7 linked regions of the Rattus norvegicus genome follow. The protein of the gene in region 3 interacts with the protein of the main gene of each other region in a pairwise test. Links are inferred from orthologs where the notes say so. Each region holds a gene or a part of one and is shown on either strand. Other genes may lie near its edges. The genes, in order: Top3b, Morn4, Ssx2ip, Xiap, Zgpat, Ccnh and Tfip11.

Region 1 (4,247 bases), on a different chromosome or scaffold from region 3:
CAGTCCTTAGAGCTATCACATATAGAGGAGCAAGAGGCCAGAAAGGAAAACTGGAAACAGATTGTTCTACTAAGGCTTTTGAAGTTCCTGTGTCTTCCAAAGAAAGTGGTGGGTACTGGACAGTCCCACCAATGTGGTTGGAATGGGGACACTGTCATTATAATGTTCTAGAATGAATGGGAATGTGGATCACACTAGAGCTGAAGTGGCAGGACACCTGTTTGCTCTAGAACCTGTGCTCTAAGATTTTATCCTGTTGCCTCTAAGGATGTCTCTTGCTATATTGCCCTGTAGCTTACTTCTAAGCCTGATACAGACTCCTAACAGGTTCTTATCTTACAGCTCCTGGAACATAAGCTGGCTATGTGAGAGCAGGGACTTTCTCGCTCAATCTAACGGAAAGTAGTGGATGGTGAGCAATCTCAAATGAGTGTCTGAATACATGACAACAGTTTTACCTGTAAGTTTACCTGTTTATAGATCCTTCAAACCAGACCAGACCAAACCAGACCGAAAACTTAGTTCACCTTAGGTGTGGTAGGAGGCAGAGGCAAGTAGATTTCTTAGTGTGAGTTTGAGGCCAGTCTGGTCTGTCTAGTAAGTTCCAGGACAGCCAGTGTTACCAGTGAGTCCTCATCACATAAAAACAGCAACAGCAGCAGCAACACCGGACTTTATAGGGTGTTGACAGCAAATACTTCTATTTCTAGGCATTCTTTTTCTATGCTCAAAGTTTGGGAAGTTTGTATCTCTTTTACTCTTCTACAACCTAAGATCCTAAATTACTGAATAGATTGACAAGTTCCTTCAGACACAGACATTCTGCCTTTGCAGGATTATGTCATGTATCCAGGAAAAGGAATATGACTGGGCAGTAATACAAAGGTATGCGACACATTTCAACTTCAGATGCTTGCCCACTAGTCAGATTATTCAGCTGTTGTCCACTTTGAATATATATTTATCTTCAGGAGCTTTGACTCAAAACAAATACAAGTAGTTGTAGCACTTCAGCACAAGAGGACTTTGTAATATTCTATCACTATTTCAAAGGAGGAAAAACATGATTTCTAATGCCAGGTATGCTGGCATACACCTATAATAGCATCTTTCAAGAGGCTGAATGAGGCAGGAGAAGCTTGAGTTGCAGGCTATACTCAGTTACATAGCAATAAGCTGTTAAAACATTTTTTATTCCTTTTTTTTTTTTTTTTTTTTGGAGCTGGGGACCGAACCCAGGGCCTTGCGCTTCCTAGGTAAGCGCTCTACCACTGAGCTAAATCCCCAGCCCCTTTTTTATTCCTTTAAGGATACAGAACCAGGTAATCCAGGGCCTTAACAGTCACTGTCACAAAAGAAAAGGCACTAAGTCTCTACACAGGGCCTTGTGTAGCCAAGGCTGGCCTCTCTATTATGTAGTCACTATGATCTTGAATTCTTGATCTTTCCATTTTCAACTCCTGAGTGCTGGGAATTCAGGAGTATACCAAAATGTCCAGCCAAGATTTTTATATATAGACTCCTTAACGTAAACCTACATGATACACCAACTTTGATCTTTTCTGCCAAAGTTTTGACATTACAGTTTGTCCTATTCTGGAGTTATTTAGGTGTGGACTGCATAGAGAGAGTAATAGTAAGACAACTTGCTTATACCTTGCCAAATCTCACCAATCATTGTGCCCTTTGGAAAACATTGTAAATATGGAGATTTCCTTTTGGGTCAGTGTATTATGAAGTAGTGGATTTAACTTGGGGATCCCCAAAAGAGGTCAGCAAAGCATGGAAAATCTAAGTATTTAACACTTCAGTGACTTTTAAGCACCTACAGTCCCAGGAAAACAAGCCTCTTAACTCCTTCTCTGTTATCTCTTAACTCCTCTGTATCTACTATGCTGCAGTTCTATGAATATCACTATAAAATAGGAGTTAAATTTAAATTAAACAAACAAACAAACAATTATTTGTGTGTGGATATGTATGGGCACGCGCATGCTACAGGTCACAAGTCAGAGGACAACTTGTGGGATTCAGCTCTCCTTTTACCAAGTGGGTTCCCGGGATCGAAACCTTGGTGGTAAGAGCTCTGAGCCATCTCATCAGCCCAGTTAGCCAGAGTAAACTGCAGTTCCTAATAATTCAGACAAGTGAAAAGGGACCTTGGCGAACGGTGAAAATTCCCCTCCTTCTCCAGCTATCAAATCCAAGTCGTCCTCGCTTTTCACAGTCCTGTTCCCAAAGGCCGAGTGCCAAATAGTTTAAGAGAAGTCATCGTTCTTTCCTTTCACCTATGATTAAGTAGCTGGCCCTCGATTCTAATTCATTGGTTTACCCACGTTTTCTCCAAACCTGTGGAGATCAAAACAGAGAACAGCCCGGGTCTCCAGACAGAGCAGGCTCCGGCCGGCAGCAAGTAGAACCTTCGACTAAGAACGCGGACCGCAGGCCCGAGCTTTTGTGGGCAGCAAGGCTTCCCTGAGCCAGTTTCCCTACCCTCAATTAGGGAGAAACATCTCATCGCGGGGCCGCGGGGAGCTCGGTGGAGCGACAGTCGCCCACTAAACTCGGTCCCACCCGAAGCGAGGGCGGGACCGGGAAAAAGCCGCACCAGGCAAGGACCCTCCCCCACGCCCCCACCCGGGTCGGAGCTCCGCTACCATTCCGGAAATGCCCGAAGAAAGCCAGCGTCTTCCGCTTCCTCGAGCAGCCAGCAACCCACTGCTCACCCGCCGTGCCGCTGCACCTCTCGCTCCGGCCGTGCTTTCCCGGTGGCCACTCACGAACGCACTTCCGGCTCTGTCCGCTTGTGGCGTCCCCTCATCTGCTCTCCGATGTCGACACTAAGGTGTCTGCAAGTTCCGAGGTTGGTGAGTTCCGGGTGCCTTGCTGTCTGCATCTTGTTAGGTGCAGGAGGGTCCAAGTCTCCGTTGTGTGTCTTCCCTCAGCCTGGAGTTGGTCTTCCAAAAACTATCCAGAGGACAATAATGACGATTGTCAGTATGATGATGAAAACTGATGAAGACAGATGCAATTAATGATTAAAATAAAAATTTAAAGTTTAATAAAAAGTTTAATAAAGTTTTATTTGATGTACATCGGTGTTTTGCTTGCATATGCATATCCATGTGAGGGTGTCGAATTTCCTGGAACTGGGGATAGTTGTGAGCAGCCTTGTGGATGCTGGGAATTGAACCCAGGTCCTCTGGAAGAGCAGCTAGTGTCTTTAACCACGGAGGCATCTCTTCAGCCCAATAATTACAATGATTTATACATTTCAGATAGCAGGCTTCTTTTAGTGTTAGGAACATCTATGAGCTAGGATGGTGGCTCTTACCAGGAATCAAGCAATCAGGAGGCCGAGGCAGAGAATTAGAGGCCATTCAGGGCTACACAGTGAATTTCATTCCAGCTTAGGACTCAGGCTGTACAAAACAAAATACCATTTAAATTTTTGTAGACCATACTATTTGTGTTAATGTATCTGGAAGATAATATGTACATTTTTTAGAGCATTAGAATTATGGAATTTTAAAATAGTTTTTATGACTTTATTAGCATATCATTTTTAATAGCCTGGTGGTGGCTCACACCTTTGATCTCAGCTCTTGGGAGGCAGAGAAAGGCAGATTTCAGTGAGTTCGAGGTCAGCCTTATCTGCATAGCGGGGTCCAGAATAGCCAGCCAGAGCAACATAGTGGGACCCTATCTTAAAAAAAATTTTTTTTAAAAATTTTATTTATTTTAAAATTGTCTCATTATGTGGCCAAGGATGTCCTGGAACTCACTGTGGACCCAGGGTGGCCTCAAACTTATGGTGTTAAGCCATTCTTTTGTTACCAAGGCTGGCTCTAACACCCCCAACAAGCTAGGGTTGGGCACACACTCTCAAATCATCAATCAAAGAGACAAGTAAGAACCCGTAAGATGTCTGTCTCAGCAGGCAAAGAACAGCGGCTGTCAAGCTGACTATGTGCACACAAAAGAAATGAAAGTAAAAATGTAATTAAAAAAGAGATAAGTAATACTAAAAAGGAATTTATTCAGTGTGCTCACATGTGGTTTACGAACATCTAAAGAGGCCCAATGACTGCTCCCACACATTTTTGGGGTCTGATATGAGGCTTAGGTTTAAGGAGAGAACTCTCGTCCCATTCACCAGGCATTTGAACATGAACTACAAATCTGCTTCCGTGGGGCTCAGCCTCTCAGAGGGGAGTTGAGGTCACTCTCCCTCAGGGAGATGAGCC
Region 2 (4,099 bases), on a different chromosome or scaffold from region 3:
ATTCCAATTTTGGGGGGCATTGGGGAGAAGGTTTGAGACAGGGTTTCTCCGTGTAGTCTTGGCTGTCCTGGAACTCGCTCTATAGATCAAGCTGGCCTCAAACTCACAGATATCTGCCTGCCTCTGCCTCCCGAGTGCTAGGATCAAAGGCGTGCACTAGCACCGTATGCCACCACCGCCCTGCATCCTCACTTGTCAGTCATCTTAGCTCTGACAGGAGCAGTCGTTAGTGAAGGAGCTGTCAGTCAAATGGTTCCAGTTCCCAGTCAGACACTGACCCACTCACCGGAGAATCTATGGAATAAACAGAAGCCATCTCCATGATGTCAGGTCTAGAGTCCTGACTTAGGATCTGGGAGTATCGTGGGGTGGTTTTAAGCTGCTAAGGGCTGGGTTAATTCATTGTTTAGTGGTAATAAGCAGAGTACCACCTGCCAACCTACCCCGACACCATTCCGTGCTGGTTTTCAAGAGTATATATTACAAATTTCCATTCCTTTTCAATCTAGAAAGATACAGTAAATTCAGCAGTGGTTTCTTAAAACCATGAACAGTTTCAAGACTCAAATCAGAAGTGCTAATTAAAAGGAACATATGTAGAACTCAGGGGTCTCGGGCTATGGCTGAATACATTTGTCTAGGAACTGCAACATGTGTCCAAACAGGTGATACTGTCACATCCTGGGAATTTCACCAGTAACCAAGATTATCCATAGTTACTGAGGCAAATATAGATTAATAAAGTGTATCCAGTACTAATGCAAATGGGAAACCCAATACTTTAATAAGGAACACAGATCGACGTCTATAATACTTGCTTAAATAATCCTGTTGGAGAAAATTGATGCCCTAGGCTTCAGATCTATACCTGGAATCCAGTCACAAACCAACACGATCCACATTCCCACAGAGGCCCTTTCTGTGCTTGTGACAGACAAGCTGCAAATGATCAGATGGAAACGTAACCTAAAATTACCATTTTTTTTTTGTCCCTGTAATCCACTGTTCTGGGACTGTTGGAAAGAGACTATATCTTTTGCTCTCTTACTTTTTTTCTTCAGTGGATGGCTCCAAACAGAACTCGAAGACAGTGATAAGAAATTGTTTTCATTTTTTAGAAGTGCTTTGAGTTTATGTGTCTCTGTGTGAACTTGCATGAATGTTTGTATGCTATGTGTGTACAAGAGCCTGTGGAGGCCTGAGAGGCCTTTAGATTCCCTGGAACTGGAGTTACAGGTGGGTGCTAAGAACTGAATCCTGGCCCTCTGCAGGAGCAGTAAACACTATTGCCATGCCTCCCCCACCTTTTCTCCTTCTCCCTGTCTCTCTCTCTCTCATAAAACCAAGCTAACTAAAGAACATTTATGCATTTGCAGCAACTTTTGTCTAAATCAAGACGTTTTTGTTTGTTATTTGAAGGAGGATTATGTAGTCCTTGGTTGTCCTGGAACTCACTATGTAGACCAGGCTGGCCTTGAACTCAAGAAGATCCACCTGCCTCTGTCTCCTGAGGCTCCACCATGTATGTCCAGCTTAAATTAAGAAGTTTTAAAACAAAATAACAACAATTCTTCCCTCCCCAACCTGAGAATAATCATATCCCAGTTAGAGACCTTTTGTTTGGAAGCAGACACCCTAACTATCCACACCATCTCCGAACTGTTCCCAAAGCCACTTCCTTGGGTAGGCAAGCTAACAAAAAATTCTTTTAGTTACAAAGGAAGCAACCATAAGTTTTTAGAGTCCTAAGAGGGGAAAATGAAAGCTCTGATGAGCAAAGATTAGGAAACTGGAAATACTGTTTAATAAAACGTGTTTTTAAATGAATATGAAATAATTAGGGTTTTAACTTTAAAATTATAATCTCCTTCCTATCTGGAAAGTAAGCATTGGCACTGTTATGATAAGCAGGTTTTATTTTTAGGGAGAATGTGGGATGGTTAGATTGAAGAAGATGAAAAGAGAACACTGGTACCAAGAAGAAGGTTTTTAAAAAGACAATGACACAAGAGTGATAGGCTCGGGGTTGGGGATTTAGCTCAGCGGTAGAGCACTTGCCTAGCGAGCGCAAGGCCCTGGGTTCGGTCCCCAGCTCCGAAAAAAAGAAAAAAAAAAAAAAAAAAAGAGTGATAGGCTCTCCGGAGTAATATTGTCACAACACTATTCTATCTATGCTAAGGGAAGGGACAGTGTCTGGGCCGGGCTCTAATATAGTGAAGTTACTCTGGTTGGGTCCTAAGTAGTTCGTGGATGCTGAATTACAGAAATGACAACCCATTCCCCAAGCCTCAGTAAGTGGGACATCTCCCTACCTGTGGCACAGACGCGCCCTAGATTAAACAAAACCCCAGACTTCGACACGCAACCCAGTCTTCCACTGCATTTTTCATTTCAGCCCGGTTCTGTCCTTTTTTTTGGGGGGGGGGGTGTCGGCTCCCACTCCACAGGCTCTTCAAGCTCCCACAGATCTGGCATTCCCTGCAGACACAGCCCGGCACACCCCTCTTGATAACCAGTGTCCTGTGTTCTCCAGGGCTACGACCTCTGGATCGAAACTCCAAACCCAATTTTGGGATCCCACTGGTAGCCACCTTCTTGTCAGTACAGCCAGGACAGAGGCTCCTTCCCCAGCCCAGTCACCTGCTTGCCGCCTCAGTCCTTACCTGGTGGACCGCACTCCCAAGTCCTCTTCCCACCCGCGCCGCAGGCCAACCTGAGCTCGGCTTCTCGAAGACGACTGTTACGCCCCGACTTGACGCGGGGCTCCAGCAGCTAGGATCTTTGCTGCTCCGGGCTCCCCACTGCCACTTTCCCCTCTGCCCCGCCACCCGCCTCAGCCCCACTGGACGCCGCCATCCCTTACGGCCGCACTGGGCACAATTCCCGCTGTTCATTGGCTGTTACCTAGGCAACCGCGAGCAACGCCACTCCCCATTGGTCCAGCCCTCTTTCGTGCCATCTTTGTGAGGGGCCCAGTGTTTTGGGAGTCTGGGCCAAAGATCTGAAAAAGGGGTGGGGCTGAGCCTGCTGTCCAATCTCATTAACCCCAACCGAAAAGAAGGACTCAGGTTTCACGTCTTCAGACACCTCCAGGCAGAGACTTTAATCCTAGATAAGGTCGAACGTGTGTTCAAAGTGGCTACATTTCAAAAGGTTGTGATTTTTAGATTCATAAACAACTCCACCGCTAAGTATGAAGAGAAAACCTAAACCCAGATTTAGAAGCTCAGCTTTATAATTAATGATGCGCTGCACATTTCCATTCATAGGGACTCTCTGTGTTCCACATCTTTTGTATTTAAAACCTAGTGCCACTATTGGAGCAAATCTTCCCAAATACTGTTCCCGGATGTCCGTGTAGCCATATGTTTGTTTAGTGAAGTGCATGCGGGAGAAGCAAGTTCTTCAGGGCTTGGAAAAGCCCTGGTCGTTGATGCGTCTCTCATGGGACTCATGACACGAGTGAGGCGTTGAAAGACAAAGCAAACTGGTTCAAATTGCTTTTTGGATTAGGATTCCTTCAGCCGCAGGTTAGAAAGTAATAATGATGAAAGTGATAGAGGGCTTTACAGGACTTGTGTGAGAACACAACGCCAAAGGGACGGTAGTTTTGCTTTGTTTTTTAAAGATTTGATTTCTGTGCTCAAATCCTATCTTTTGCTACTTACGAATTGTGTGTGTTTTGAGTAACTTAGTAAGCTCTCTAGCCTGTAAAATGAGATCGGACAATACATTCAATGTGGTACTAATTACTCACTTGGTAATGTAAGCTAAACTGTGGAATTGATTGTAGATTAAAGTGCAGTCACTGAGAAATGGATTGGAAAGAAAGGGATCTTCTTAGAACTCGTGCTAGGAAATAATAAGGAAAAAATGAGATTAAATCACAGATTGTGCGGGACCAAATTATGGGAAGACTTATAAATTAGCACAAGAGTTTGCAAACTGTAGTTTCTTTGATGGCTTGAAACTGTAGTTTCAGCAAGATGGCTTGTTAGGTCAGAGCAAATTACCTTGTCTCGTCGGGACACAGCATCCAACATCATAGGAGTTTTAATGGCAGTTAATGGAGCTAATCCATGTAAGATACTTAAAACAA
Region 3 (4,056 bases):
GAAGGAGAAGCATGCAGCCGCACAACCTCAGGACTGTAGTCAGTCTCTTCAGTTTCCATTAAGACTTGCTATTGATCCCAGAGTCTCCTCTCTGAATCCCACACTGCTCCCACCCCAGATTTTTGGACCTCCCATCCCTCAGGGCCTGCCCTGGGCTGGGACTGGATTCCATGGTGGCTGCATCTTCATCACCTTTGGCTCTCCAGCCCTGGCACAGAGGACCCGCTTGAGCAGCCACTGCTGCACTGTTAAGGCTCCTGTCAGCTTCAGTTAAGCCTGGGGAAAGCTTTCAGGTCTTATCTAGACCATCAAGGTCCAGAGCCCATAGACTGTGCAAATTACTAACTTGGGCAGACATACTCTACATCAGAAGCAATATAATCCCCAACAAAACCGTGTGGATATTCCTTATTGGTCAAGGGTCACAGCACTGTTATTAATGCTTGTCACTAACGCAGCAGCCACAAGGACACCAACCACCTGTAACCGGCACCTGCTTGGCTGCTCGCACCAGTTGGTGAGCGCCTGTCAGGACACAGCTGAGATGCCTTCTTTGCTAAGGCCCTCCCACATTTGCATTCTCCCCTTCTCCACACAACACCAACCCACCCCACCCCCCAGAACAATATTCAGAGCAACACATCTTTTTATCCTTAGGCCTGGCAGTTGGCAGCTGAGTGTCTGATAATAAATGTTTACTGAAAGAATAAATTTATTAACATACAGTGAATCGCTCCTACACTACACAAAATACTGGACCAGCATCAAACCGTATAAATCTAGGTTTTCCCATTACTAATAACGGATGGTGTACTGTCTCATCCTAGAAGCTCATGAGTCTAAGTAAGCTGTATGCTCATAAGCACCTAACCATAATTAAAGACACAGAACACTCACACAGCCTCTTGTTATGAACAATTGGGTAAGCCAGCAAGGTAAGTTCACAGCTAGTGTAAAAGATACAGGAAGCTATCACTAAAATTCGCTCTTGAAACTGAGCCTAGAAATACGGGGCTATAAGTCCAGCTACTGGGAGGCTGAGGCAGGAGTTCAAAGACTGCTTGGGCAAGCTAGTAACAAGGCAACCTTGCCTCAAAATAAAGGCACACTGGGTTTCAGCAACAGAACACTTGCCTTGCATGTCCATGGCCCTGGTCTGGTTCCCCAGGGACTGTGTGAGGGCATTCAGAATGAGAGGGAGCTTGTTTTTAAGTAGGATGTGTGTGTTGTTCTACTAGGTCTGGAACTCCTAGGCTCAAGCTGTCCTCACCTCAGTCTCCTGGTAGCTGGAGTAAAAGGTTGGGGCAGCCACAGTTCTAGGCAAGCTTGCTTGCTCTCTTGCGCGCTCTCTCTCTCTCTCTCTCTCTCTCTACCTCCCTCCCTGTCCACCTCCCCTCCCTCCAGCCACCCCCTCTAGCTGAATGCTGAGTGAGGGCACATTCAGTATATCCTAACCGGTTTGGGCCAACAAGCTGGTTTGTCCACTTTTAAGAGAGGCCAAGTACATTAATTTGACTGGGCTGGGTTTGAGGTCTCAGGGACAGCAGGAACAGTTAACTTTTCCATGTCCTGTACACCTGCCTGAGCAAGTCGAGGATGCTATGGACTTAACAGGTCTTGTCACAAGGCTCAATGTGTCATGGAGTAAGCTTCACGTTTCATCCTGGAGTGACCCAGCTTCTGCAGTTATCTCCAAGCTGCTTCAGCCTGGTTACTTAATCCCTGGGCCTATTATCTTCCCTGTACAGCTGGAGAACAAGAAGGAAAGGAAGGGTGTAAAATGACAGGCTGTAGGGGCCCCAGCAGTCACCAGAAAAACGCCCTGGTTTGAATTCTATCCATTCCTAATCCTCCTCTCAGAGAATCGTTTTTTGTATGAGGAACTTTCATGCACACCAGGCAGGACCAAGTGTCGACAGGGATGGCAGCTTGCCTTGTTTAGTTTGAATAAACTACGCTTCCTGGGCCCACAAGCTCTTGGGGAGTAAGGAGATTGGATGGATTAAGTTTTGCTGGCTGGAGCGACCATTTCGAATTTTATCCAGCCTCGTAAATGTGTGTCACGTCATATACGGACCTTTCCGTTCGAGATCAAATTATGGACTAGAAAGATTTCCTTCCACGGATTGCGGGCTCCACGGCAGCACTATTTCCAGCTGACTCCAGGCCTGGACTCTATTCCGAATGGAAGCAAACCTTAAATCCAGGAGGCTCTCATCCTTGGACTCCACCTTTCATACAGTCTAGAAGGAACTCCCAGTTCTCACAACTGCATCAGCGTTGCCGGTTATGGATCTGATACACTGTGGGGGTTAATGAAAAGATTCCTCTACTGGTGCTGATGGGGAATTTTTTGGCAAGTTTTATTTCCTGGGCCCAGGTGACTTGCATAACCCAGCGACCTGCACTAGGAGAAATTACGTGCTGACCAGACAGAGCTCACCATTCACTCACTGTGCACCACTGGAAAAATCGAGGCCAAATAATTTCTCCAGCAAGTCTACCCCTGCGATGATGTAAGTTCTTCCCCTAAACGTGGGGCTGGACCACGATGAAGCACCCACCTACGGCGGACCTCACTCGCTAAGTCCTACGGCAGCCTCTGAGGGATCGCCGAGCCCACGCGGGCCGAAGGGACCCCGCGCATGCCCCCGCCGAATCCCGCAAGGGCGCGGGGTCCCCAGCACCTACCTCACACTTCCCGCTGCAGGCGGCTGGCAGCAACGCTCTCCAACCGCTGCAACGGCCGCGACGAGCCCGCCCAGTGCCGGCCCGGGTGCATGCGCCCACGTCCAGCCCGGCGCCCTCCCCGGCTGCGCGTCACAATCCCGCCGCTCACCGTCACGGCACCGGGAGCGGCTCACGCCTCCCGTAGCCCGCGGGCCCGCACCCGCGGCGGCACGCAGCGGTTCCGCGCAGCCTCCAGCCCGCCGGGTCCGCCCGGCCCGCCTCTCGCCGCTTTCCTCCGCGGGCGCCCATCCCACCCCGCCCTGCGCTGGCGCCGCCCATTGGCTCCGCCGGTTGCCAGGCGACGAACAACCGCGGCCCGCATTGGTCCAGCGAGGACTAGCCTACGACAACCCCAGCCGCTCTCCCCCGCGCAGCTGCGGCCACCGCACCTGTTACACCCGGGTTCACCAGGCCGCCGCTCCCCGCCCCTAGCTCTCCGCGGGGACAAGAGGAGGGTCCTAGCCGCTTTAGAGCCCGGCCTCCGAGGCGACCCTGAACCCCAACGCTCCCAAGGAGAACCGGGTGCGCTCCCCAGATCGGAGAGACACCAACGGGCATCCAGAATTGGGTCAGGCACTGGAGAAGGAAGGTCAAGTGGCCTCGGGAATCAACACACCAATGGCACAAAAATCAGTGGAAAACCAGAGCCGGGGTAGTGGGCAAGAAACCCCGAGTTCAGGCCGCAGGACTGCACACAGCGTGCGTGAGGTTGCAGGTCTGTGAACCAGCAGAACTGAAGTTCAAGGTCATTGGGAGCTCGAGGCTAGCCTGGGCTAGTAAAGCTCGAGTAGTGAATAAAATTAAGCAAAGAAAGGAACCTAGGGAGGAGACAGCTGGAAAGGGAAATGAAGAAACAACAGTACTTGTGAACTAGAAGTTGATGGAAAAACTCCCTAGGCCCACTCACTGAGTGCAAAGAAAATGTATGACAGCTGCAATTGGCCAGATCCACCTACCTCCCTACTATCTCTACCAAAAGTTCCTCCAGAAAGGAAAATGGAGAATCCATAGTAAAGGGCGGGGTGGTGGAGTTCTAGCGAGGTGTTTACTCGAGGAGAAAAAGAAGTTTGGGGTTTTCTAGCGAGGTGTTTACTCGAGGAGAAAAAAGTTTGGGGTTAAGTGGCTCCTGTTAACAATTTGAGACCAAAACAGCATAAAAGGAAAACAAGGAATACCTCACTGCCACAGAAGAACGAGAGAGAAGAACTACACATACCCTCAATGCTGAGAAGTGGATCAGAGTGCAGACATGAGCGTTAGAAGAGGAGGGAGACAGATTAGATGCTGAACACAGGTAGCAAGGACAGACACATCATTACAAAAATG
Region 4 (2,890 bases), on a different chromosome or scaffold from region 3:
ACATGGCGTGCTACAGTGGATGTGTGTTTACTTATTGTACACCAAGTACCTAAGGAAGTGTTCACTGAGTGCTTTTACTTGAACAAAATTAAACTATTGCTTTCTGAACATGTTTTGGAAATAATGTTCCTTCTAGGACATAAAAAGGAGTGACGGCAGGCATGTTGGTACACTGTTAATCCCAGGATTCGGGAGGCAGACACAGGCAAATCTCTTAGTTCCAGGCTAGCCAGGACTTCATAGTGAGATACTGGATTTTGTTTTGTTTTTAAAAGGAGATACACAATTAAATAGGGACATGCATTTTTCCATAATGAGATGCATACAGTAAAGTAGTTCTTAGGCGACAAGCACTAGAAGTTAGCAGACAAACCTAGCAGGACTGGTGCAGTAGCTCAGTGGTTAAGGCACCTGCCCCCAAGCCCGAAGACCTGACTTGACGTCTGTAGACTCGGGAACTGTATGGTGCAAAAAGAGAACCAAGTCCTAAAAGCTGACCTCTTCATTTTTACACGTGTGCCACAATGTATGCACTCATACAACTATAAATCAATGTAATAAATTATTTTTTAGAAAGAAAGGAAACTTGTTTTTAAAAGATGCCACAAGAAGTAAGTGTGTGGCACAATGAATGGTATACAGTATCCTGAACTGCAGGATTCCTGACCCACCCCAAACACATAGACACACACAAACACACCAAAGGGGGAAGAACCTTCACGTAATTCTCATTTGAGGCCAGATTTATAAACCATTAATACACAGTGATTACAAAGATATGTAATGTATTCAGAGTAATGCCTGGTACAAAATATTTATGCTCTATTACTGTTGATTGTTGTTGCTGTTATCATATATGACTACAAATCATAGTTTTGTGGCATATTTGTTAGCATTTTACAAAATCTGTTTTGGCAAAGATTCAACTGTGCAGCTACTCCAGTATCCTCTATATGCTAATTACACCGAATGTTTTTGTTTGGGTGCCCTGCCAACATCTTAAATAGACTTGAAGCTGTAAAGCCTTTACCTCCTTTTATATTTCCAATCATCATCATTGCCTCCCTGACACATTAACAAACGCAACTTTAGTTCCTCTTTCCCTCTTTAGCCCTCACATCTAAGCACTAAATCCTACCCGTCCCACTGTATTGACCCTTTCCTGGAATTACTTAATGCCTTTCCATATGTTTGTACATTTACTTCATCCTTGCCTTTTCTGCCTGGTAATGTGTTGCCTATACTTAAATGTCCTCCTTGTCATGATGCCTTCCCCAACCACCCAGACAGAAGAACTTGTTCATCTTGCCCCAGAGCACTTTGTATGTAACTTGATTATAGCATGTTGCACTTTGTACTTACCCTCTCTGGCTGCAGCTCCCAGCCTCTCCCACTAGCATACAAGCTTCTTAAGAATTTGTGCTATGTCTGAGTCATTTTCATGTCTCCCAGGACTTGAGTGTCTGCCACGCAGGAGGGGTTCAATGTTTCAGTGAATTTAAACAACAAAACCCAAAACTAGTATATGTTGTTTTTCTCTTTATACAGACATCAGTACTGAAGAGCAGCTAAGGCGCCTACAAGAGGAGAAGCTTTGCAAAATCTGTATGGATAGAAATATTGCTATAGTTTTTGTTCCTTGTGGACATCTGGTCACTTGTAAACAGTGTGCGGAAGCAGTTGACAAATGTCCCATGTGCTGCACAGTCATTACGTTCAAGCAAAAAATTTTTATGTCTTAATCCAGCACCACAGTAGGCATGTTATGTTCTTCTTACTGCAATTGAATGTGTGATGTGAGCGAACTTTAAGTAATCAGCATCGCAGTCCATTAGCATCTGCTCCCAGATGGAAACAAATGTTAACAGCACTGTTTCAGGCTAATCTTCGAATTTCTGGATCTGAATGCCCGATCTTAGCTTATTAGCTGTTTTACCATTTATCCAGGGTTTGACACGTTAGAAACCTTAGACAAAGAAGCATTTTATAACTTTTCACATGTATATTTGTAGTACACTGACTTGTTTTCCGTGTGTAAGTGAATGAGTCACCTGCATTTTTCATTCCTTTTTTCATAAGCTTAACAAGCGGAGTGTTCTGTATAAGCAGGGAGGTTTGATTTAATCTGCCCAATCATTTTAATTTGCTTATTGTAAACAGGGAAAGAACTGTTCCACACTGGTTGGAGGATGAACATTGTTTTTAGATGTTTGTTTCTGTGTTTTAGGATTCTGTTCATTTACTTGGGATTTATTTACTTGGGAATTGTAAATGTACTTATATGAATATTTTTAAGTGATTTTGCCATCTCCTAAAAGATATCTAATGGTGGACTACCATCTAACTAGCATGTACTGACATAGAAAAGCATCACAGATATACTATGTATAAAATACAGATGGCAAAACACTATATTTATCTAGTTGGAGCCAAATCATCACATGTGTATTTTGTACCTGTACAGGACAAAAAGATTTGGAAAGATAAGTATCACACTCTTAAATGTATTTTTTCTTCAGGGGGTGGGGGATGGGTCTTAGAGGGCCTTATAGAGCCCTTCACTTTTTTCCATTTTTTTCTGTTTGAAGCTTTTATAAGTATGTATTACTTTTATAATCAGAATTCTTAGAAAATATTTTGCTGATTTAAAGGCTTAGGCATGTTCAAACGTCTGCAAAACTACTTATCGCTCAGTTTTAGCTTTTCTAATCCCGGAAGGCAGGCCAGTTAACTTTTCTGGTGCCAATGTGAAATTTAAATGTTTTTGTTTTACCTGCTTTGTGGATGAAAAATATTTCTGAGTGGTAGTTTTCTGACAGGTAGATCATGTCTTCTTATCTTGTTTCAAAATAAATATTTCTGATTTTGTAAAATGAAATATAAAATATGT
Region 5 (4,205 bases), on a different chromosome or scaffold from region 3:
TGCTGGATCTAGTGGGGGGTAAAAGACAGTTTTTAATTTAATTTTACAACAACAGCACTCTTTTAATCCCAGCACTCCAGAGACAGAGGCAAACTCATCTCTAGTCAGCCAGGGCTGCACAACAGAGAGACCCTGTCCATACACAAATAAAGTAAACCTGCTGGGCACACAGATCACTTATGCACCTATCTGCTAGCAAAGGAAGATTGGGCAAGGACATGTCCGGTCTACCATGAAATACAACAAAAAGATGTGCACAGCCAAGATAGGTAGCACTTGCTTACAATTCTGGCCCTTGAAGGTGAAGTCAAGAAGACCAAGAGTTCAAAGTCATCCTTGGGTATATAGAAATGGCTGTGTGTGGCCAGCCTGAGCTACATGAGACCTCATTTTAAAGACAAAGTAAAGAAATAAGATGTGCAGAGTACAGATGTAACGTGGGAATAAGAGCCTAAAGCGATGTGAGGAGGCCACAAACCAAGGAATACAGTTGGTCTCTGGAGGTTGGAGAGACGGCTCAGTGGTTAACACCTTCTTCTAGTTTTCTCAGGCTAGAAGATTGTGTAGGTACACACCCCCCACCCCCCTACACACACACATACGCATGCACTCACACACAAATACACATAACTAAAAATTTATCTTAGCCAGAAATGGTAGTGCTTGCCTTTAATCACAGCACTCAGAGGGCAGAAGCGGGTGGCTCTCTGTTAGTTCCAGGCTAGCCTGGTTTATAAAGTAAGTTCCAGGACAGCCACCAGGACTACTATAGAAACTTTGTCTCAAAAAAGCCAAAAATAGCCGGCCAAAAATAGCCGGGCCATGGTGCAAACCTTTAATATCAGCCTTTGGGTAGTGAGTTCAAGGCCAGTCAGGTCTTCATAGCTATATGTAGTCCAAGACAGCCAGGACTACACAGAGACCCTGCACCAAACCAAAACAAAACAAAAGAAACCTATGGATCCTTGGAGAAAAACATTAAAAAGGTAAAAAAAATAAATAAGTCAAAATAAAATAATAATAATTAAAAAAAAAAAAAGGACAAAGAAATGGATTCTGGATTCTACCCTCAGACTTCCAAGGATCTAGCCCTGCTTAAAATCCTGCCTTTGGCCAAGTGAAACTAATTTTAGATCACTACTAACTACTATTATAGTAGAACAAATCTGTTTTTATTTCAGTGGCCTAAAATAAATTCAAAGCACTAGAGTTACTCTGGATTATTGAGTTAAAAAAAGACATAGGGGCTGGAGAAATAACTCTGGTTAAGTTAAGAGCACTGACTGCTCTTCCAGAGGTCCTGAGTTCAAATCCCAGCCACTACATGGTGGCTCACAACCATCTGTAATGGGATCTGGTGTCCTCTTCTGGTGTGTCTGTGCACTTATATATAACAAGTAAATCTTTTTTTTTTTTTAAAAAAAAGACATAGGTAGGTTTTAGTAATTATTATTTAGCTACATTCTGAAGTATTTGAGGGTGAGAGAAAAAGATGTGACTTGCCAAAGGTAGCACAAGGGGGAAAGGCAAAGTAGCAAGAGGTTATGTGTTTGAATGTTCTGTAAGACTATATATAAACGCTCCCCATAGCTGAGGGTAGGACTGAGGTGTAGAGTAGCTGACTGCCTGGTGTGCTGGAGGCCCTAGTTCCACCTCATCATAGTCAAAAAAAAAAAAAAAAAAAAAAAAGGTTCCAAGCTGAAGATGTAGCCCAGTAAAAGTGGTGGTGGCCTCCACCTGTAATCCTAGCATTTGGAAGTTGAAGGCATTCGGGATCTAGCACAATTGCTGAAGGATCAGGAATTGAAGAACAGCCGAGGTTACATTGCCATCTCAAAGCAAAAAACGTTTTACCTTGGAGAATAATATTGATGATGGGTTGCCCTATCCTTTCAACAATAGCCCTTTCAAACTTTTTGATTTATGCAAGAAAATCTAAGTAGACAAACGAAGAACACTTCTGTAAAAGCCTGTCAGTCACCTGAAGCTCGGACTCTTCATTATCAACTCTGCAGGGTGCAGAAAAAGTTGTGGCGGCAGGCCACAGCGGTGGTCCTGACTACGTGTCCCACATTGCTAGTAGCAGAGGGTTTTACCTGCAGTTCTCCTTGAACCGGCACTTTCCCTCCAGGAAGAACGGGCAGGGCTTCAGGGACTTGTGGGTAGGGTATAGGTAGAGTACCCGAACGCACGCAGAACCATCCTCCGCCTCTTCGGCGCCAACAACCATGGCGTTGTGATACTCTAGCGTGCCCCACGCGCTGTAGTAGGGGGCATTCACTTTAGCACCGCTCAGATCCTCCAGATCTGGGTCCTCTTCCTCTTCCTCCAGTGCAGAGGAGGTGGGTGTCGGCTGCACCTCGCTCCCAGGGACCGTCTTCGAGTCATTGCCGGGGTCAACGGGTGCTTCCTCCGCTATAGCCTTCTGGAAAGCCAAGTACTCAGCATCTTCTTGGTGCTCCTGGTCCACTGTAGATAGCAGCTTGCTCTTCCTGACCGACAACAGGCTGGCCTCGGTGAGCTCGATCAATTCTTTTAGATCGCCCTGCAGCTGGCGCAGGTCCGCCTGCTCAGAAGCGTCTAGGCCAGCACCGAGCGCCAGCTCTACTTGCTGAAGCTGGGCCCGGTAGGTCTGCAGGGCAGTCTCTAGGTTGTCCTCGTCCATCCTGACCCAGAAGGCTGGTTTCGGAACCTTTAAGGCAGACAAGCTCTGAAGGAAGAGCAGTAAGAAGGGCTAAGTGCAACGCCGCCCCCCCCAAACCGCTAGAAAGGCTGAGGAGGACCCAGGCTCTGCCGAGGGGACCTGCACTTAACCCGCCCCCGTCCTCTGCCGTCCGCAACCCCACCTCCTGACTGCGGTCGCAGTCTAGAAGGGTTTCCGGCTTCCCCAGCAAAGCTCACGCGCTAACCTTCCGCCCTCCGCTGGCACTTCCGCCGGAGAGCCGATGCTGCCGGAAGTACCGGCGCGCGGGGGACGCTGGGATGCGACTCCGCCCGTGCTGGGTCTGTCGATCCTCGTTCCGTCAGGCACCGTGAGGGGTCAACGTGAGGTCGGTGGGGTTAGTAACGCGGTGGCGGCGGCTCCTCCTCCAAAATTTGAGCAGGTACAGGTGGGCCTCAGCTGAATTGAGGAGCTGGGGTTCTAGAGTCCTGAAATAGGGGGACGGAAGTGGCTTCAGCAGATGGTTCCTAGTCTCCGTGGGCCCAGCAGCGGCGGGAATCCGAAGCCGACCCTCGCCAGAAGCTTTGCCTCTTTGGTAGCTCCCTAGACAGTCCGCTGGCCCTGCTTCCTGTCGCTGAGTTGAGGGTTCGGAAAGAGGATCCTTTGGAAGGCGGAGTAGAGTAGGCCGCCACGGGCTTTTCAGGGTTCCAGGTCGATGGTGTATTCTGAAAGATGACCTTAAGTGGGAGTGGCCCAGGTTTAGCAGGTGGGCAAGGGTGGAGTCAGGGTCAGAGATTTTTAACCGAAGGGGGTGGGGGGGAGAGTCAGGATCCTCATTTAAAAACTAGCAGGATAGACTGATCACTGATGAAGCGGGCAGGAGGCCGATGACCCTGGTACACACCTTGACATCTCTCAGGGTGCCAAACAGGATGTACACGCTGCTTTCCGGGCTGTACAAGTACATGTTCCAGAAGGATGAATACTGCATCCTGATCCTGGGCCTGGACAATGCTGGGAAGACGGTAGGTCCTTGTTCTCTCACGAGTTCCCATTCCCCGCTTGATGTTTTCTTATGTTGGAAATCTAACCCGGGGCCCCAAGACTACAGGTTAGTTGTCACCAGCCTCCTGAAGAGCAGTCAACAGGCAGAGAGGTGTGCGTGCATATGTGTATGGATGTGAAGGCCCAAAGCATATAGGTGTGAAGGGTTATATTGGGAAGAACACCAGAAAACTGCTCTAGGTGCTGCTATCTAACCACCTCTCTTTCTTTCCTCAGACCTTCCTGGAACAGTCAAAAACACGATTTAACAAGAACTACAAGGGAATGAGTCTATCCAAAATCACCACTACCGTGGGTCTAAACAGTAAGGGGGCACCTTAGGGATATGAGCTTGGGGGGGTCCCTTAGAAATGGATACTGTAAGGTCCACAACTCAACTGACCAGTGGTCAGAACCCCATCTCTCTATTCAAGCCCCCTGGGATTGGTACCAGAATGTTTTGTCTCATCCTGGGGAGAGCTGGGACTTTATGTGTGAA
Region 6 (3,500 bases), about 220 Mb from region 3:
TTCCTGGGAACTGGAATTGCAGGCAATTATGAGCTACAGTGCGGGTGCTGGGAATTAAACCCTGCTCATTTAGAAGAGTAGCAGTACTCTAAACTGGTGCATCATCTCTACAGCCTGTTGTCTTTTAATTTATTCCCCTAAAGCCACCAATCTGTTTTATTTTCCTTCCACACTTCAAAGACAAATGTCAATAAAATCATGAATGACCTTTCTGGCACCGAATTTAGCAAACATTAGCAGCCTCCATTATCTTTTCCTAATCCAAGCAGAATTGGAAAGATGTTCTCCTTACTTACTAGAGTACTCTATCTACTTCCCTTTATTTTTTTCCAACAATCCTACAACTCTGGATACATTTTACTCCCATTATAAGCTTCTTCATTTTTCAACTACCGTTTAAACATTTATGACCAAAGCCCTCGCTGTTACCCTGCTGTTACCCCTTTGTCCATTGTGATCCACTCTCTTCATAATGCAAGACACATTCAGATGTCTAATCTCATCTGATGGTATAATGCCTATTTTGATTGTCAACTTGACTACATCTGAAATTATCTAGAACCCCAAATGGCTGGATGACCCTGTCAGGGATTTTGTTTAAAACACACCTTTAATCCAGATCTTTTGAGGTGTTAAGACTCATCTTTAATTTGGGTCACACCTTCTGTTGGAAGCCTATATAAAGGACATGGCAGAAGGCGGCCCTTCTTTTTGCTTGCTTGCTCTTGCCTTGCTAGCAAGTCCATTCCTTCTCTGGTATTAGCACTTCCTTCTTTGGCATTCTAGTGTATACTGAAGACCAGTTGAGATATCCAGCCTCATAGACTTAACTACTGGACAGTGGATAGGATCTTGTGTTCATAGGCAGTCACTATTTGATTAACTTGACCACATCCTAATAAATTCTTCTCTCTCTTTCTCTCTCTCTCTCTCTCTCTCTCTCTCTCTCTCTCTCTCTCTCTCACACACACACACACAGACACAGAGACACACACAGACAGACAGACACACACGCACACACACACACACACACACTAATACTCTAGAGAAACCTGACTAGTATAGACACCAACTAACCTGTGAGGTGCCAACAGGCCATTTTTTCACATTGTGAACCCAATCATGCCAGTTCTATAGACAAGGCTTTCATGGTCTTTTTCCTTTGTAAACATCTTCAACACTATTTACCTAGTCTAGATACCTGCCTTTAATTCAAGCCAAAACACTCTTCCCCTCCATCCCCTGACTCTTCCTGAGTGCTTGACTAGGAAAGTCTTTGGGTGGGGTGTTCTTTCCTCACCTAATTCTACTCTTGATTTGAATTTCACTTCAACAGTGTTTTCCTTGCTTTTCAATCTGCCATCTTCTAATAGAATATTTTGATTTCCCTATATAAAATTTACCACATTAATAGTTATCTAAGGTCCATGAAAGTTGTCATGTTCCTGTCTTGTTTCTAGGTTGCACCCCAAAAACATAATGCTTAGCATAAATAGCTGCTTACCTGAGAATAACCAGCTCTTGACTTTTCTTTGACTTAGTCTACTCAACAACTTAAATTGACTACATCAATATTAACATATGCATTAATATGTGGTACATACAAATACATAGACTGAATTCTACACGTAAAATATACACATGCACATATTTGTATTACAAGCTTTGTGATCTACTGACACTACAGTGCCAGGCTAGTCTCAAACTCCTAGGTACAGAGTGATCCTCCCACCTAAACTTCCTGAGCCCCTGACCATACAGGTGTCACCAATTTACTTATAATTTTGGCGATTATATTTGTGAACTGAGTTCATAAAACATTTACAATAAGATTAATTTATCTTTTGGTTTAATATTAAGAATTTTTTGAGGCACTATAAGTCACTAGGCCTAGATCTATGACAATATATACCAGTTATAAGAACATTACTATAATCTGATAATCTACTATAGGTTACTAAACAAGAAACCTGGGAATTCTTACCCAATAATCTTAAGAAACAAACTTTCCGGGTAGACTCTAATGCACACTGAAGTTTGAAAACTATTACCCTAGAAAAGCCAGCGAAGATTCTTGGGGTGCACCTGTGTTATAGCAGTTAGGATACTACTGGTTAGAAAGCTTTCGATTCTTTTTAGCAAACAGTAATAAAGGAGTACCTCTATCAGCTGTTTCATGCCAGTACATTTACCTTTATATCAATGAGGAAGCCTTCAAATGGTCTATATGGATTGTGGACAATGAGGTGAAAATTAAGTTGTTGTATAAGTAGTAGTTCATATTCCAAAATCTGTTCCAGTGCCTTCTCCTGTCCAAGAGGACTCTCTCGAAGGTTCCCAACAAACTGAGGACTAGACACATTGAATTCATCTACTTTGCAGGCCAAAAATGCACAAGTAAGCCTACATAAAAAAATAAAGGATGGCAGAAATACCTAATTATTACTTAAAGTGCTTTGTAAACTGCATAATATTCATATGTGACTATGCTAGATACTGCAGGAAATTAAATGAATTAAATTAAAAAATAAAACAGAAGTTAAAAAATGTTCCTCTTTAAACTTTGTTAGGCTTAGGAGAAACTATATAGTTAGGTTGAGCCATCATTTACTACTGCTACAGCATTAACCATTAACACATAGCATCTATAATCCAACCACAAACTTGGAAAACATAATAAGTAGTGTGTATCAAGAAATATAAATGGAAGATTTAATTTAACGGAATAGAACACATGCATATACCTTATAACCATACAAGACAGGTAATAGTAACTAATACTCTAGACAGTCAGCAGCAGCAGCCTCAAGTCATTGTGAGGATGTGATTACTGCTTGCAAGCAAACATGGAATTCTCCTGAGTACTAAGTTAAGTTCATCGAGAACTAGTGTAAGAAAGCTACTGCTGTCACCCTTTAGTATCTGAAGCCAGAATAAAGCCCTGAGCTTGACTGCTGAGAAGGGAATGGTGACAAATAAATAAACAGACAGACAAACAGAAGGATAAATGGCAGCAAACAGTTTGGTGAGTCCTATATTAACTGTGTTCTCATACATGATGATAAGCATGATGCTTAGCAAAGAGAGGAAACAACATATACTTCTGCTTAGCCAAAATGAATATGAAGTTACAAGATGCACAAACTGAATGGAAATGGAGAGAAAGCAATTACCTCAAATGATTCTTAGCCTAAGCAATTGGCAGAATAAAGGTGCCACTGATAGCGGAACTAATAGGATTATTAGTGGAAAGAGAACTAGGTGAGTGGTGGACAAGCTGCAGTTCAGAGGCCATTAGCTATACAGAACATAACAGTAACTAAGAAGGCCTTATATCCAAATAGAAAAAAAATTCAGGTCTAAATTGTTCCTAATTAAAATTGTCAGTTATCTGTCATATACAGCTCACAGATAAAGGTCCACACATTATAAACATCTTCAATAAAAACAAAGCAAAACAAAACAAAAACAAATTTATACTCACATTATTATCCGAGGGT
Region 7 (3,500 bases), on a different chromosome or scaffold from region 3:
CTGATCAATGGTGCTAAGGGGTGGTGACCTGTCTCTCTCATAGGTGATCGACATGACAGGCCGGGAGCAGAAGGTGTACTACAGCTACAGCCAGATCAGCCACAAGCACAGTGTGCCCGATGAAGGGGTGCCGTTGCTCGCGCAGCTGCCTCCCACAGCTGGCAAGGAAGCCAAGGTGCCGGGCTTCGCGCTGCCTGAGCTGGAGCATAACCTGCAGCTGCTCATTGAGCGTACGGAGCAGGAGATCATCCAGAGCGACCGGCAGCTGCAGTACGAGCGGGACATGGTGGTCAGCCTGTCGCACGAGCTCGAGAAGACAGCCGAGGTGCTTGCTCACGAGGAGCGGGTCATCTCCAACCTCAGCAAGGTGCTGGCCCTGGTGGAGGAATGTGAGCACCGCATGCAGCCCCATGGCGCTGACCCGCTCACGCTGGATGAGTGTGCCCGCATCTTTGAGACACTGCAGGACAAGTACTACGAGGAATACCGCCTGGCGGACCGCGCAGACCTCGCTGTGGCCATCGTCTACCCGCTTGTGAAGGACTACTTCAAGGATTGGCACCCCCTTGAGGTGAGCTAGGGTGCAGCCTGCTCTTGGGCTGGGGCATGGCTGCCGAGCTGGGAAGGCTGATGATGCTGGTGTTCTGCAGGACAGCAACTACGGCACCCAGATCATCTCCAAGTGGAAGAGCCTCCTGGAGAACGACCAGTTGCTGTCTCACAGCAGCCAGGACCTGTCCTCAGATGCCTTCCACAGGTACCAGGCCGCACCCCACTGTGTTCCCTTCCAGGCCCCACCCCACTGTGTTCCCTTCCAGGCCCCACCCCACTGTGTTCCCTTGCTTCTCCAAGGAGCAGGAATTGTGCTAAAGGCTGGGTGACAGCCATTCTGGCCCTGTTGACTCTGCTCCACCCCAGCACTGCTCTGGGCTGGGGGTGTTGGAGATGTGCTCACCCATGTGTCTATTGAGAGTCCTGAGTGTCCAGGAGCTGGGCTCACCCTGACCATGCGCACCTTTGGCCCAGTCTGGAAAAGGCAGTGCAGGGCACTAGTAAGAACTAAGAATGCGCCAGGCGTGGAGAGGACAGGTGTCTCAGGAGGGGACATTCAAGCTGTGACCCCAGGTGTGAGAGGTGCTGTGAACTGAGGCTCTTATGGGAAAGCAGCTGATGACCCTGTGCTGACACTGTCAGCCACATGAGCCTGTAGCAACCCTGCCAGTGTTGGCATCACTGAGGAGCCCAAGGCTGAGAGCTAAGACATCACAGGGACCCCTGTGGGGACTGGCCTGAGGTTTCCTGTGGTGGTCTGTGGGCTGGTACACTTTGAGCACCATGAAGCCAGCAGTGTGGCTGACCAGCTGCCTTGCCTCTCGCAGGCTCATGTGGGAGGTCTGGATGCCTTTTGTTCGGAATGTTGTCGCCCAGTGGCAACCCAGGAACTGTGAGCCCATGGTGGACTTCCTGGACAGCTGGGCACACATCATCCCTGTGTGGATCCTGGACAATATCCTGGACCAGCTCATCTTCCCTAAGCTGCAGAAGGAGGTAGGGCGGGGCTCTGACTGGGTCTCTTAACTGTGCACTGAAGTCCTGAGGTTGAAGGGTGTCAGCATGGCTGGTGGCCTGCAGTGTTAATCGTAGTCTTCTCCATAGTACCCCTCCCCTACCTCCCTCTAGTGGGAGTTGCCTTTCTCAGTGTCTTTATTGAACCTTGAGCTATGCTGAGGCTTGAGTTGGTGGCCTGAATGTTTGGTTTTCTTCTATGGAGGGACCTAGAGTACAGAATGCCTACTATTTACCTCCATGGTGGGTCTTGCCCTCCCTACACACAGGCCTCTCCCTAAGGACAGCACTGCAGTGTCATTAACTGCCCATGGGCTGCATTGCTCATTCCACTCATCCTGTAGGTGGACAACTGGAACCCCCTGACAGACACCGTCCCGATCCACTCATGGATCCACCCGTGGCTGCCACTCATGCAGGCCCGCCTGGAGCCGCTCTACTCCCCTGTCCGCAGCAAGCTGTCTAGTGCACTGCAGAAATGGCACCCCAGCGATGCCTCAGCCAAGCTCATCCTGCAGCCCTGGAAAGAGGTCCTCACCCCTGGGTCCTGGGAGGCCTTCATGCTCAGGAACATCGTGCCCAAGCTGGGTAAGGACACAGGGACCTGGAGGCCGAGTGCAGCTTACTCAGTGTCTACCAGAAGGTATACTACTTAGAGCAGAGATAGATGGGAGTGGAACCAGGGCCTTCCTGCTGTTCCTTTACAGCTTGGCCAAGGTCTGCAGTGATGGCTCTGGGCTCTCTGTGCCTTGTGGTTTCCTGACTGATTTGGATGTCAGAACCAGAAAGCCAATGGTCTGTTTTTATTTATTTTTTTTTTTTTTTAAGATTTATTTATGTGAGTACACTGTAGGGGCCGTCTTCAGACGTACCAGAAGAGGGCATCAGTTTCCAATTCAGATGGCTGTGAGCCACCATATGGTTGCTGGGAATTGAACTCAGGACCTCTGGAAGAGCAGTCAGTGCTCTTAACTGCTGAGCTATCTCTCCAGCCCCGGCCCTGGCCTTTTAAGTGCTTGTGAATCTTCGGAATTCACTGTGGGTAGAATGACAGAGCAGACAGGAGACTAGAGAGTCTGCTTTGCCATCTCTCTTGCAGGCATGTGCCTGGGTGAGCTCGTCATCAACCCCCACCAGCAGCACATGGACGCCTTTTACTGGGTGATGGACTGGGAGGGCATGATCTCCGTCTCCAGCTTGGTGGGATTGCTGGAGAAGCACTTCTTCCCCAAGTGGCTTCAGGTGAGCACTGTGGCACAGGAGGGACATGGGGTGGAGTTGCGAAGCGCCTCGTCTCAGCTCCTCAGAGAACCTGTCAGGGATGTGGAGATCAAGTGTGTAGCACAGAGGCCACAGTCTGGCTCCAGATTCTACTGGAACTGCTAGACACCGCAGCTCCCCGTGCTCTGTAGTGTGGGCTGCTGGAAGGAGCAACACTGAATGCAGCAATTGCTCCTGGGGACACTCGCTCTCAGTGCTGTGGTCCATGTGTGGTCACCACTCAGTATCCTGTGTTCTTTGGCAGGTGCTGTGCTCCTGGCTCAGTAATAGCCCCAATTACGAGGAGATCACCAAGTGGTACCTGGGCTGGAAGTCCATGTTCTCAGACCAGGTGCTGGCACACCCTTCTGTCAAGGACAAGTTCAACGAAGCGCTCGACATCATGAACAGGGCTGTGTCCTCTAATGTTGGTGAGCAGGTGTCTCAGTTAGGGTTTCATTGCTGTGACAGACACCAGGGCCAAGGCAACTCTTATAAGGACAAGGTTCAGAGGTTCAGGCCTTTATCAAGGTGGGAGCATGGCAGTGTCCATGCAGGCTGGTGAGGGAGGAGCTGACTCTCAGGCAGTTAGGAGGAAGCTCTCAAAGCCCCCTCGTCCAGTGACACACTTCCTCCAACAACGCCACACTTCGTAATAGTGCCAGCCATATTCA

Evidence for each region.
Region 1: the proteins of Ssx2ip (region 3) and Top3b interact in binary tests that used the Homo sapiens proteins (3 or more experiments, as listed by UniProt). The two-hybrid records come from large-scale screens. The link is inferred for Rattus norvegicus from reciprocal best matches to the Homo sapiens genes SSX2IP and TOP3B.
Region 2: the proteins of Ssx2ip (region 3) and Morn4 interact in binary tests that used the Homo sapiens proteins (3 or more experiments, as listed by UniProt). The two-hybrid records come from large-scale screens. The link is inferred for Rattus norvegicus from reciprocal best matches to the Homo sapiens genes SSX2IP and MORN4.
Region 4: the proteins of Ssx2ip (region 3) and Xiap interact in binary tests that used the Homo sapiens proteins (3 or more experiments, as listed by UniProt). The two-hybrid records come from large-scale screens. The link is inferred for Rattus norvegicus from reciprocal best matches to the Homo sapiens genes SSX2IP and XIAP.
Region 5: the proteins of Ssx2ip (region 3) and Zgpat interact in binary tests that used the Homo sapiens proteins (3 or more experiments, as listed by UniProt). The two-hybrid records come from large-scale screens. The link is inferred for Rattus norvegicus from reciprocal best matches to the Homo sapiens genes SSX2IP and ZGPAT.
Region 6: the proteins of Ssx2ip (region 3) and Ccnh interact in binary tests that used the Homo sapiens proteins (3 or more experiments, as listed by UniProt). The link is inferred for Rattus norvegicus from reciprocal best matches to the Homo sapiens genes SSX2IP and CCNH.
Region 7: the proteins of Ssx2ip (region 3) and Tfip11 interact in binary tests that used the Homo sapiens proteins (3 or more experiments, as listed by UniProt). The two-hybrid records come from large-scale screens. The link is inferred for Rattus norvegicus from reciprocal best matches to the Homo sapiens genes SSX2IP and TFIP11.

Annotation. Positions count from the first base shown.
Region 1 is NC_086029.1:97,626,798-97,631,044, forward strand, and holds the start of Top3b (DNA topoisomerase 3-beta-1), read right to left. Parts: upstream 2,801-4,247; 5' UTR 2,727-2,800; exon of another isoform or gene 2,160-2,726; intron 1-2,159. UniProt on the Homo sapiens protein: Releases the supercoiling and torsional tension of DNA introduced during the DNA replication and transcription by transiently cleaving and rejoining one strand of the DNA duplex.
Region 2 is NC_086019.1:250,845,144-250,849,242, forward strand, and holds the start of Morn4 (MORN repeat-containing protein 4), read right to left. Parts: upstream 2,801-4,099; 5' UTR 2,664-2,800; intron 1-2,663. UniProt on the Homo sapiens protein: Plays a role in promoting axonal degeneration following neuronal injury by toxic insult or trauma.
Region 3 is NC_086020.1:237,957,208-237,961,263, reverse strand, and holds the start of Ssx2ip (afadin- and alpha-actinin-binding protein), read right to left. Parts: upstream 2,801-4,056; 5' UTR 2,692-2,800; exon of another isoform or gene 2,078-2,691; intron 1,749-2,077; 5' UTR 1,582-1,748; intron 1-1,581. UniProt on the Homo sapiens protein: Belongs to an adhesion system, which plays a role in the organization of homotypic, interneuronal and heterotypic cell-cell adherens junctions (AJs).
Region 4 is NC_086039.1:125,797,395-125,800,284, forward strand, and holds the end of Xiap (E3 ubiquitin-protein ligase XIAP), read left to right. Parts: intron 1-1,548; coding exon 1,549-1,742; 3' UTR 1,743-2,390; downstream 2,391-2,890.
Region 5 is NC_086021.1:188,850,214-188,854,418, reverse strand, and holds the start of Zgpat (zinc finger CCCH-type with G patch domain-containing protein), read right to left. Parts: upstream 2,801-4,205; 5' UTR 2,666-2,800; coding exon 2,097-2,665; intron 1-2,096. Other genes in the region: Arfrp1 (ADP-ribosylation factor-related protein 1), read left to right, coding at 2,946-3,104, 3,511-3,687, 3,944-4,031. UniProt on the Homo sapiens protein: Transcription repressor that specifically binds the 5'-GGAG[GA]A[GA]A-3' consensus sequence. Represses transcription by recruiting the chromatin multiprotein complex NuRD to target promoters.
Region 6 is NC_086020.1:17,576,994-17,580,493, reverse strand, and holds part of Ccnh (cyclin-H), read right to left. Parts: coding exon 3,485-3,500; intron 2,404-3,484; coding exon 2,193-2,403; intron 1-2,192. UniProt on the Homo sapiens protein: Regulates CDK7, the catalytic subunit of the CDK-activating kinase (CAK) enzymatic complex. CAK activates the cyclin-associated kinases CDK1, CDK2, CDK4 and CDK6 by threonine phosphorylation.
Region 7 is NC_086030.1:49,962,258-49,965,757, reverse strand, and holds part of Tfip11 (tuftelin-interacting protein 11), read left to right. Parts: intron 1-43; coding exon 44-571; intron 572-650; coding exon 651-757; intron 758-1,379; coding exon 1,380-1,548; intron 1,549-1,910; coding exon 1,911-2,154; intron 2,155-2,665; coding exon 2,666-2,808; intron 2,809-3,091; coding exon 3,092-3,257; intron 3,258-3,500. UniProt on the Homo sapiens protein: Involved in pre-mRNA splicing, specifically in spliceosome disassembly during late-stage splicing events. Intron turnover seems to proceed through reactions in two lariat-intron associated complexes termed Intron Large (IL) and Intron Small (IS).